3 linked regions of the Xenopus tropicalis genome follow. The protein of the gene in region 3 interacts with the protein of the main gene of each other region in a biochemical or structural test. Links are inferred from orthologs where the notes say so. Each region holds a gene or a part of one and is shown on either strand. Other genes may lie near its edges. The genes, in order: sin3a, max and mxd1.

Region 1 (4,326 bases), about 29 Mb from region 3:
TTGGTTGTGCAATTGCCTGATTTCGACCACACTACCAAATAAATTTATATGGCTAGTTGCCATTCAGGCACATAATCCTGATGAGTTGAGGATTACCAATCCATCAGAAACATTTTTACTAGTCAAGTAAAAAGAGAATCTGCAGATTTTCTTTACTTCTTTCTGCTGTCATCATTTGGCCCAAACTTGCAGATATATACAGAGGTGGCCATGGATGTATGGCCACCTTAACAACCTAACCAACTTAGTATAAAGGAATGCCTAAACCCTCCTGGGAAAGGGAGTTACGCAAAAATGCAATATTGACAGTGCCGTTTTTGTACACGACAAAGTGAAATTAACATCTGTTTTATGAATTCCCTACCAATTTCTTGCACATGGCCTCTTGATTTCCTGGGTTATGTGACACTTTTTAAAAACTGATTAAGAACTGGGTATAAAACAGTTCTGATGTATGTTTTCTATGCACTCCATAATTTGTTTGTATGAGCTGATCTAATCTCACAGCATGTTGATGGATGTCATGTATAATTAGATTATAGATGTGCATGAAGCAAGTTTATGTAGGGATTAATGCAGTCTCTTTTGTAAAACAGGAGTTCCATACCCTTTTAAAAGGCGCAATATAACAGGTTAAAGTTGTGTTTCTATAGTCATAAAACGTAAATGTTATTTCAAATGTACTTTTTTTTAAAGAAAAATTGTATTTCTTAAAAATGTGTATGACCAATTATAACTAATGCCACTATTTATAAGAATATACACTGATTTTCTATATCTGTAACCTTGTTGTGACCTGATGGGGACCTGTCTAAATTGTTCTATTATTGTGTTGTCCTACTGTACAGCACAGCATGCACAAGCAGTGCAGTGTAAATATACATACAAGTTCACATTATTAGGGTTTACATCTTCCACCAGACATTTCAAATTTTTTTTTTCTTTAACACTATAGTATGACATTTTTAATCATAATTGCGACATCCCAAGGGCATTAGGTCCATAGAAAGGCACAGCAGCATTTATAATGTTTCAGTATGCCATTCATGAGTTGGAGTTGTTATATTCCTAAAATAAACGTAGTAAAATGTCTATAGCCTATGATAAAGCAATGCTGCCTGGTGCTGACTAATCAAAAGTGTGATGTTTCATAGCCAAGATGCAAACCTTTCTCTCTCGTACTTAGCACACACAAAACTTGATGTCAGATTGCAGAATTGCCTCTAAATCAAGGATAAGCTACCATTAGGGTTCCGACCACAGTGTCTATACTGTTTTCACACATTGTATTAATCAAAAAATGTTTGGAGACAAATAAGACGATAAACGTATATGAAACTTAAGGCTACATTTCTGGGGAGGAGTATAAGAAGAGCAGCCTCATTGTCCTCAGCTCCGCCCCTTGGCTAACGTCGGCCCATAAAGTAAAGCTTATTGGACAGCACTTCCGGGTACAACACAACTAGCCAACCATTGCCTGCTATCAGCTTCCGCTTCCTATGACCAGGAGTGACCAGCAATATGCACGCCCTACCAATAGTGTTAAGCCACGCCTTACACGGAAGAGAACACGGAGTCGATGCCTAGTGCCAGCGAATAAGGGCGGTGCAATCACTCTGCCCAATGAAAATACAGGATGCCTAGGTACTGGAGAGGGCCAATAGCGTTTAGATAGGGCGGGGCCAAAAAGGATAAAGCTGAGGCACGTACCATCTCAGAATTATTAAGCGCGTTAGGAAGGGAGAGAGTAGAGGTTTTAGCGTGAGTGATAGCGGCTAGTTTTCGTTATGCGTGCAGAAGGCAATTAAATTTAATAGTACATTGACCAGAAGACATGGAACAGTGTAGTGTAAGGCAGGCTATTTAGGAGCCGCTTCCACATAGCGCGGCTGTTCAGGGGTGTTTTCTGCTGCCTCCCAGACAATACAGTCACCTAACTGCAATGAAGCACCACCCCCCAAACCCCATGTCTATACTCCTATTAATCTCATGCAAAAACCGAGCTCACATTTTCCCAAAATTTGGTCTCGTGTGATATTCGGGGAGAAATAAACTTAAAGGCACAAATGATTTAAGCGTCAGCGTTGAACCTCCGCCTTCCATCAATCGCTGTAGGTCCCCCAAACCCCAGCACCACGAACTGCGTTAACCCCCCACCCCCCAAAAAAACCTAAGGTCATTTTAAGAACATAAGGGATCCCTAATTCTTCCCTCTCAGACAGGACAAACCAGCCTTTGCCCATGCCAACTGACTGGGCAGTAACAGCCCAGCTGGCTCGGGTGCATAACATTTGTCCCAGTCTCAGCCCTACTCCATCTATCCATCTCCCGGCCTGGCGGTCATCTCTATACAGATGAGAGCATATTGGCAGGCATATTTGGACAGGTAGCCACATGGCCACCATCGATTCCCCTAGGGCAGGGATCTCGCCACCCACAGCTATTAGGCAGCAAACTCTCGCGTGGCTCTGGGGATTCCAGTCCAACAGCAGCTGTTTAGGCGCAGGTTGGAGAACGGTGCCACGGGGGAATGTGTATCCGGACACCCTGTACATACGAGGTGCAGCACGGCTGGACTCGTAACTCGCCGCCTGACCCCATCTGCGAAAAGGCAAGCACTTCGATGTGTCCCACTGGCCTTACTACAACCCCAGCGCCCCAGTCCAAACAAAGAATGGCTCCCTTTAGGATAAACAAGAGGCACATACCTTCCAGAAATAAATATACGGCCACACCAAGTCAGGGACTCTATGCTAGGATAGATACACCCCCCCCGTTTTTTTCCAAGACTCCTAGTTCTAGTCCAGCCCCCTACAGAAAAGAGGGTGGGTGTGTACCATAGAAAACCTTAGAGGGGAGGGGAACTCATTTAAACTCGACCCCGCCTTCTTGCCATATAGAGACAGCGCTCCGTCATGGGGGCTTAGCCACCCGCCCCCTTGAAGGGCACGTCCCATTTGGCTCTGGTGCTGTTTGTTCTCTCCTTCCTTACTAAGGCTTGTAGAGTCTAATGTTAATTTTGTAGTGTTACTCGCGGCCCTCAAGCTGACTTAGAACTCTTATCAGATTCAATGACCGCTGTATTTGTTTCATAAGTAGTAGGGCTCTGTTGGGCGGGAGGTTGTGAGAGACCGCGGCTACAGCGCGCATCCCAAATATGTTTATGTGACAGGTGCGCGTAATGATTTTGGACGACAAGAGCGAAATTATAGGAATATGGAGGGGCTGAATGTGCACAGTAACGACATACCTCAAATCAATATAGAATTTTTTTAAAAAACTACAACGTCCAAAATGCATTGCAGGTACGACACAAAAGATATCGCCCACAATGCACTGCTTTTTAATACTTACATAGATGAAAACTATGGAACCCAGAATGCTGTGCGGTGCTTGAATCGCGGAATAGGAAACGTTTGTCGGATGGTGCAGAGCGAGCGGAAAAGGTCTAGGTTTTTAATAGCCCAGAAAACATATGGAAAGAGGCATAACAATATTGACAGATTATTATTTTGTGTTCTTTCATATTGTCTGCCCTGCACCTTATATGTGGAATAGAATATATAGCGCTGCACTGCTTTGTCTCTGCAACTGACTGTAATATATTGTAAGTTTTCTTAGCCATAGATTGTAAGCTGTACAGAACAGGAATCTCCATACTCTTGTCTCTTTGTTACTTAGCTCTGTGACATATTTACTACAGCTGTACTTTATTAGTATTAATCGTACTTTGTATTTATTGACCTATTATTGTAATGACCCCCTTGTTTGTTTTAATTAAATTATTTTTCTTCTATTCATCGCTGTATACATACATAACACATGTTTGTGTTAATTAAAAAAAAAAAAGAAACCAAGATAAAATCTGTAAGAACTTATTCCACCTTTTTTTACAAAATTGTGATCTGTACAAAGAAGTTGAAAACAAATCAACAGTTTAGTGAAACAAATCATACAAAACCTGGTTGCATTAGTGCGCACCCCCTAAACTAATAACTTGGTTGAAGCACCTTTTGATTTTATTAACAGCACTCAGTCTTTTTGGGTCCATCTGTTTGGCACATTGAGACTTTGCAAGGTTTGCCGACTCCTCTTTGCTAACATTTTCCAGATCTGTCAAATTGTGAGGGCATCTGTGCACCGCTGTCTTCAGGTCACCCCACAGATTTTGGTAAAGCTATTGCTTTGTTGATTTATGTATGCTTTGAGTCATGCTGAAAGGTGAAGTTCACCTTTAGCTTCCTGACAGATTCTTAAAGGTTTTTTTACAAAACAGGCTGATACTTGGAGCTATTTATGATTCCATCCACCTTGACTAAAGCACCA
Region 2 (4,333 bases), on a different chromosome or scaffold from region 3:
AGCAACTCTAAGGGCCCTGGCACACGGGTAGATTAGTTGCCGGTGACAAATCTCCCCGAAATGCCATCAAACCGGCAGTTCCTCTCAAGGCAACTTCCGCGATTTCAGGGAAAACGCGGCGCCGCGTATGCCATCCCACCGGCGATTTACATTTTTGCCAGTGGGATGGCATTTCAGGGAGATTAGTCGCCCATGAACAGGGAGATTTGTCACGGGCGACTAATCTCCCCGTGTGCCAGAGCCCTAATAGTACAAAGCCATGAACACTACTAGTATTCCAGGACAGCCTACTGCCTGGATGTGGTCCTTCTTAAAGGGGACATGATTACTCTGTACAAGTACATTAGAGGGGATTATAGGCAGATAGGGGATGTTCTTTTTTTCCCATAAAAACAATCAACGCACCAGAGGCCCCCGCTTTAGATTAGAGGAACGGAGCTTCCATTTGAAGCAGCGTAGGGGGTTTTTCACAGTGAGGGCAGTGAGGTTGGGGAATGCCCTTCCTAGTGATGTTGTAATGGCAGATTCTGTTAATGCCTATAAGAGGGGCCTGGATGAGTTCTTGAACAAGCATAGTATCAAACACTATTGTGACACTAATATCTACAGTTAGTATTAATGATTGTATCTATAGTTTATGTATGTGAGTGTATAGATTGGTAAGTATAGGTTGTGTGTGCTGGGTTTACTTGGAAGGGTTGAACTTGATGGACAATGGTCTTTTTTCAACCCTATGTAACTATGTAATATGAACAACTATGCCTAACATCACCATTTCCTACAATCTGATCCTCTCCAAAATATTTAATATCAAGGGTAATATAGAAAAAAATGGACAACAAACAAGCAAGCCTGTCTCACTGGGACACCAAACAACCAGTGGAGAAATGATGAAGCTCCGCCCGCCCCCCCCATGAGTCTGGCCAACAGAAATATATACAGACACCTGTTCATAGTATAACCTCTGGCTGTTACCCTTCCAAAATAATAGGGTATGCATACACGTTTGTTGCCCTTCACCGAGGTGTCTATCTTACCACCCTGCAGTTATTGTTGGATAGGTACCAACAACATAGAAAACAGGTCAGTAATAAAGGCACTAGTCCCAGAGTCCCATGCCCACCATACAGAGCAGGTATCATTACACATCTACTGGGGCTGCCTGGTGTGTATGCGATGTTTACACTAAGGGGCACATTCATCAAAGTACAATTGAGTGTGAATACAAAAAAAATTGTTTTAGAACTGTGCGTTTTTTTCGCAACTTTTTCGTACTTTCCAACAATTTGCACGACAAAATCGTATTTGTCGCAACGAGTACAAAAGTTTCATTATTCATTCAAGCTTCAATATCGTGACTTTCCTTGGGCCAGGTTGGAGCTGCAGAGTGCCATTGAGCCCTATGGGAGACTTTCCTTGGGTCGGGTTGGAGCTGCAGAGTGCCATTGAGCCCTATGGGAGACTTTCCTTGGGCCAGGTTGGAGCTGCAGAGTGCCATTGAGCCCTATGGGAGACTTTCCTTGGGCCGGGTTGGAGCTGCAGAGTGCCATTGAGCCCTATGGGAGACTTTCCTTGGGCCAGGTTGGAGCTGCAGAGTGCCATTGAGCCCTATGGGAGACTTTCCTTGGGCCGGGTTGGAGCTGCAGAGTGCCACTGAGGCCTATGGGAGACTTTCCTTGGGCCAGGTTGGAGCTGCAGGGTGCCATTGAGCCCTATGGGAGACTTGCCTTGGGCCGGGTTGGAGCTGCAGAGTGCCATTGAGCCCTATGGGAGACTTTCCTTGGGCCAGGTTGGAGCTGCAGAGTGCCATTGAGCCCTATGGGAGACTTTCCTTGGGCCGGGTTGGAGCTGCAGAGTGCCATTGAGCCCTATGGGAGACTTTCCTTGGGCCAGGTTGGAGCTGCAGAGTGCCATTGAGTCCTATGGGAGACTTCCAAAATCCTCCACTGAAGGGTCAAAGTCAGAAAGGTTTTTGAGCCGTTTACGATCGTACGGATACGAAAATTTCGTAACTTTTGCATCGTACCACGATATTTTCGCACAAGTACAACGCGACTCTTCGCAAAATTAACGCACATTAGAAATTTTTGTATTTAATGCGAATTGTCGCCAATTATACTCTTAATTTGTAATTTAATGTATCGGCCCCTATGTGTTGGTGAATGTGATAGGGACCTTAGATAGTAAGCTCCACTGGTGCCAGGCTGATATGAATGATGGGATACTTCAGTGCTATATAAATAACAATAAACCCCAGACTGATGAAGGTACCCTGGGCACTGAAGGAATGCTGGGGTCCTAGTATATAATAATATCATAATGGGGATATTGATTTAAGGACCCTCCAGCTGTTGGGCTGCAGCCCTCCCATCCCTGCCAGGGGAGATGCTAAGGATTGCAGAGCAGCTGGAGGGCCGGTGGATGCTACAAGTTATACTACATACAGTGCAGGAGGGATACAGAGTCCTAACAAATAAAACAAGATGCCCTGAGATACTGGAAGCCCAGGACAAATGCCCTCTCTCTGCCCTACCCGAAAACCTTCTCCGTATTGCTGAGGATGCTGGGATTTGTAGTGCAGCAGGACCTAGGCACACACAGAATAGGAAACACTGTTCCTGTTACAGCTAGAACCAAAAGCGGTGATCCCTGCTAAACAGACAGTTGCCCCCTCTCCAAGGGACAACACAGCCACCCCCGCCCCCACCCCATATAAAGCCAAGTTAAAGGGAAGCGGAACCCGCACTCACGTCGCTTTCCACCTCGATGTCATCGTTATCGCTCATGCTTTCCTATAGTGATGGGAAGGAGGGGAGAGGCTGCTCGGGCCTGAAAACAAACACTATGGGCAAAAAGAAAAAAAAAATAAAATCCGAATTAAGGGAGGGAGAGAGGGGGGGAAGAGACCCTCTCTGTGCCCAGGAAAACACACCAACGGAAGCCACACGTGACTCCACACTGCTAGGGATCATTAGCCAGAGCTCTAGCCTCTCAGAGAGCCGGCCCGCTGCATGCTGGGAAATGGAGTTCACTAGGGCCGGAAGCGCTCTGCCAGCTTATGCGCCTAAACACGGAAATTGACTACAACTCCCTTATAGCCTTGGGAGCAAACAAGCTTTACTGCGCAGGCGCGACGTTCCAGGCCGCTGATGGGATTTGTAGTCTACACAGGTAGCGGCTTCCCGGAAGTGGGCTGGAGACACGTGTATAGACGGGAAGCTGGGCGAGTTTGTGTTTGTGTGACTGGGCTGCTGTGGCGGCTACGGGCTTGTTGTGTAGTGACAAGGGAAGGGCCTGCGGGGGAGATGGGAGAGAGGCTTAGGGAAGTAGTGGGGCTTTTCATCTTCATCCGCTTTGGACTAATACAAACTGATATTATATCGTTTAGGGGTGTATCTCAAGTCGTAAGCGTATTTATGTATATCACATCTACAGTTTGGTTGTTCCGGGGGCAGAAATTATATGATGGGAAATGACGTTTTATGCCATTTCTAACAAAAAGATACCGACACCAAGCGTGTTGCTAACGAAGCAGATGCCATAGCAACCTTTTCGTGCACCTGTTGTCAGCTCGGCAGATATAGAGTATAGAAAAGCCCTGCGTGGTGCCTACTGTATTGTGTGAAATAGCTGAATAAAGCAAAAAAAAAAAAATACTACCCTTTACAAGCTTAGATTGTAAGCTCTACAGGCTTTCCTACTGTGCCTCATACCAAATGGTGCTTAATCTCTGTGTATATATACTTATTTGTTATGTTTTTTATAATATGTGCCTTCCCCGTGTGTACTGTTATATGATTGTACAGGTATTGGATCCATTTTCTGGAAACCTGTTATCCAGAAAGTTCCGAATTACGGAAAGGCCATCTCCCATAGATTCCATTTTAAACAAATGATTCTAATTTTTAGAAATGATTCCCTTTTCTCTGTAATAATAAAACAGTACCTGTACTTGATCCCAACTAAGATATAATTACCCCTTATTGGGGGCAGAACAGCCCTATTGGGTTTATTTAATGGTTAAATGATTCCCTTTTCTCTGTAATAATAAAACAGTACCTGTACTTGATCCCAACTAAGATATAATTAATCCTTTTGGATGGAAAACAATCCTAATGGATTTATTTCATGTTTAAATGACATTTTAGTAAACGTAAAGCATGGAGATCCAAACTACGGAAAGATCCCTTATCCGGAAGACCCAAGGTCCCGAGCATTCTGGATAACAGATCCCATACATGTACATCTCTCCACATTCCTGTAGCGCTTTATAAAGTTATACAAACGTACAGGCCCCTTGTGTATTATTCAGCTGATATCTGGCAGATTGAGG
Region 3 (2,862 bases):
CCATAAACTAGAAGCAACGTACAAATTCCTTCGAGAAGCATCTGCTAGGGACAGTTACATGCAGCTGCAAAGGTTATACCGTGAAACGGGGGAATCGAATGGTACTGTTTGGATCTAGCTACGAAAATGTTAAAGTGCGTGTCCCAAACACTGCCTGGTAAAAATCCAACCGTTAGCATTCTGGGTGGGTTATGTTCAGTTAAGGACGATGAAGGCCTGCTTGCAGTTTTTTTGTAGTGCATGCTCTTTTCAAGGTGAATTTCTTTAGATTAGGGATAAAAACAAAAACTAAAACTTGACTGCCATTTGGGGAAAAACAGCAAGAGATTCTGGTACTGCAAATACACTGAAAAAAAAGAAGGAGCACTGATATCATATAGAAAAACCTTTCAGGCTCCATTAATTTACTCTTCCCTTGCTATAGAAAGGCAAATGAAAAATGCCTGGAAGTCTTCTTGTGAACAGAAAAGGGTAAGATTCCAGTTACAAAATGATAACAGGTTTACATAAAAACATGGAATCATTAAAAAAAAAAAAAAAAAACATCAGCTTGTAGAGGAGAGGCTGTGGCAACAGATAACGATTATGAAAAGTAAGCAAGACTGACACCAATAACAAAAAACACAATATAATAGACATAGCAAGTGGCTTTATAGATCTCCGAATAAAGGCTAGAAGGCGCCAGCGTTGCAATTTAGACTGTGCTGGGTTTGGTGCATTAGATGCACGATTCTGTGAAAAAATATAATAGCAGCATTCTCACTGTTCTAAGCCAAAATCACTGAATCAAGACTCAAAGTCCCATCCAGATTTCCTTGGTGGCTTCTTATTGGATATTATAGTAGCTGTAAACTAAAGGTCTTGCCGTATAGCAAGATTCTTTTGACATATTCCTTCATACCATTTTCCAGATGTGAAGTGAAGCAAAAAAAAAAAAAAGTTTTGGTGTTGCTGGGAGATATTATGACCTTTTAACTGGGCCAATTGTACCGGCAATAGACCAGGTACCAGCTGGATGAATATTGTTATCTTGTTTATCAGCCAACAACCATTTCCAGTAAATAATATAGATAGTTTTTTCCTCTTGAGTGCTTCCTGGTGATTCTGGAATGTGGTCTTCTCGAGTAGATTTGGCTGATGGGTTAGCAAGTGATATTGAGTGTAAACTGAAACCCATACAGCTCCTTCGGAAAAGGGGGGAGGGAAACAGACTGCTGGAAGGTCTGAGTTTACAAGTTCACGTGCAAGATAATGGTGTGAAAGCCAATAGATAACAGTGTCTGATGTGAGAGCAATTGGGAGTAGTGTGACGAACTGCTAGAAATCTCTCGCAACCATCCTTCCCCCCTCCCCTTTTTATCTTCTCTGATTGGCTGTTTAAAGAGCTGTAATTTTGGGATTGTCCTGTAGTTCTATCCTCTTAAGACCAGAGCTGGAATATCCTTCATCACTGCAGATGCTTTGCATACTCCCCCTCTCATCCAAGTCACTCACACTACTGCTACTGCTGCTCCAATCCAGATCTGCAGTTAAATAGTCCGTGCTTTCTACGTCCACATCAATTTCCTCTGTGGAAATAAAGTACCAGGAGTCAGCAATAAACCCAAAGCAAAGAAATACAGCTTTCAGTTGTACTGACAAATACAAAAATTAACTTTAAGTATGATGTATCCAGTAATATTCTGAGACAATTTGCAATTGATTTTTTATGATTTTTTAGTTATTCAGTGTTTTTTTTCAGCAGCTCTCCAGTTTGGTATTTCAGTAGCTATATGGTTACTGAGGTTTTAACCCTAGAAGCTAGGCAATGGTTTGAATGAGAGACTAGAATATGAATAGGAGTGTGTAGACCCCCCCCCCACACCCCCCATTTAAAAAATGGAAAGATGCAGAGGAGAAATGCAAATAATTAAAAAAAAAAAGAAAAAAAATAATTAATGAAGAGCCATTACAAAGGTTATTATGAATAGTTAAAAGGTAACAAAGTTGAACCACCCCTTTAATGAAACACATGGGAAATGCATGCAAACATGCAATGCATGCACACAATAATATATTTGCAGGTAGCAGATAAAGGGTTAATGGTGTGTCTCCAATTATTTGAGCCGCAGCGCAGCACAAAGGGACCATCTACTGGAAACCACTGTGTTAAACTGTACAGTTAGGCCAAGCACGAGTTAACTGAATGAATCAAGATTTTTGAAAATAATGCAAAGAGATTATGAACAGTTTATTAAGAAAATCTATTTTTTTGTTGTTGCTGTTGATATAAAACAATAAACTGAAAGGGGGATGGGGTATAAGTTACCTCTGTCCGAGTCTGATCGTTCTGAAGACATAGCTGACCCTATACTGTCCATGCGCGTCCTTTCCACCCCAAATTTTTCTAGCTGCCTTTTTAGATGTCGCTGTTCTCGTTGCAATTGTTCAATTTGGTGCAGAGACCTTTTGTCACAATCTTCAAGTTTCTTTAAAAGAGAAAGAACAAAAGAAATAATAAGTATTTGGTGTATGTATATGTATATATGTATATATATATATATATATATATATATATATATGTATATATATATATATATATATATATATATATATATATATATATATATATATATATATATATATATAGACACACACACGTTAAAAAAATAATATAACTTTAGCTTACCTTAATGTGCGACTTTGCTCTTGTTAATAGACTTAATGTGGTATGCCTATTGGATTCAGGTCCAAGAGGAACCAATATCTTTAGCTTTTCCAGACATAATCTTAAATGGGCTCGTCTAAACAGGAAAAAAAGAATAATTACATCCACATTAGAAAAACAATCATGGCACAATATGCTTTTCAGTTACACATAAC

Evidence for each region.
Region 1: the proteins of mxd1 (region 3) and sin3a form a complex in vitro, tested with the Homo sapiens proteins (4 studies listed by BioGRID, with this or other methods). The link is inferred for Xenopus tropicalis from reciprocal best matches to the Homo sapiens genes MXD1 and SIN3A.
Region 2: the proteins of mxd1 (region 3) and max form a complex in vitro, tested with the Homo sapiens proteins (4 studies listed by BioGRID, with this or other methods). The link is inferred for Xenopus tropicalis from reciprocal best matches to the Homo sapiens genes MXD1 and MAX.

What each region holds. Positions count from the first base shown.
Region 1 is NC_030679.2:93,378,729-93,383,054, reverse strand, and holds the start of sin3a (paired amphipathic helix protein Sin3a), read right to left. Parts: upstream 2,815-4,326; 5' UTR 2,709-2,814; intron 1-2,708. UniProt on the Homo sapiens protein: Acts as a transcriptional repressor. Corepressor for REST. Interacts with MXI1 to repress MYC responsive genes and antagonize MYC oncogenic activities. Also interacts with MXD1-MAX heterodimers to repress transcription by tethering SIN3A to DNA.
Region 2 is NC_030684.2:119,935,270-119,939,602, reverse strand, and holds the start of max (protein max), read right to left. Parts: upstream 2,929-4,333; 5' UTR 2,787-2,928; coding exon 2,751-2,786; intron 1-2,750. UniProt on the Homo sapiens protein: Transcription regulator. Forms a sequence-specific DNA-binding protein complex with MYC or MAD which recognizes the core sequence 5'-CAC[GA]TG-3'. The MYC:MAX complex is a transcriptional activator, whereas the MAD:MAX complex is a repressor.
Region 3 is NC_030679.2:121,959,161-121,962,022, reverse strand, and holds the end of mxd1 (max dimerization protein 1), read right to left. Parts: intron 2,784-2,862; coding exon 2,669-2,783; intron 2,469-2,668; coding exon 2,309-2,468; intron 1,569-2,308; coding exon 1,378-1,568; 3' UTR 630-1,377; downstream 1-629. UniProt on the Homo sapiens protein: Component of a transcriptional repressor complex together with MAX. In complex with MAX binds to the core DNA sequence 5'-CAC[GA]TG-3'. Antagonizes MYC transcriptional activity by competing with MYC for MAX binding.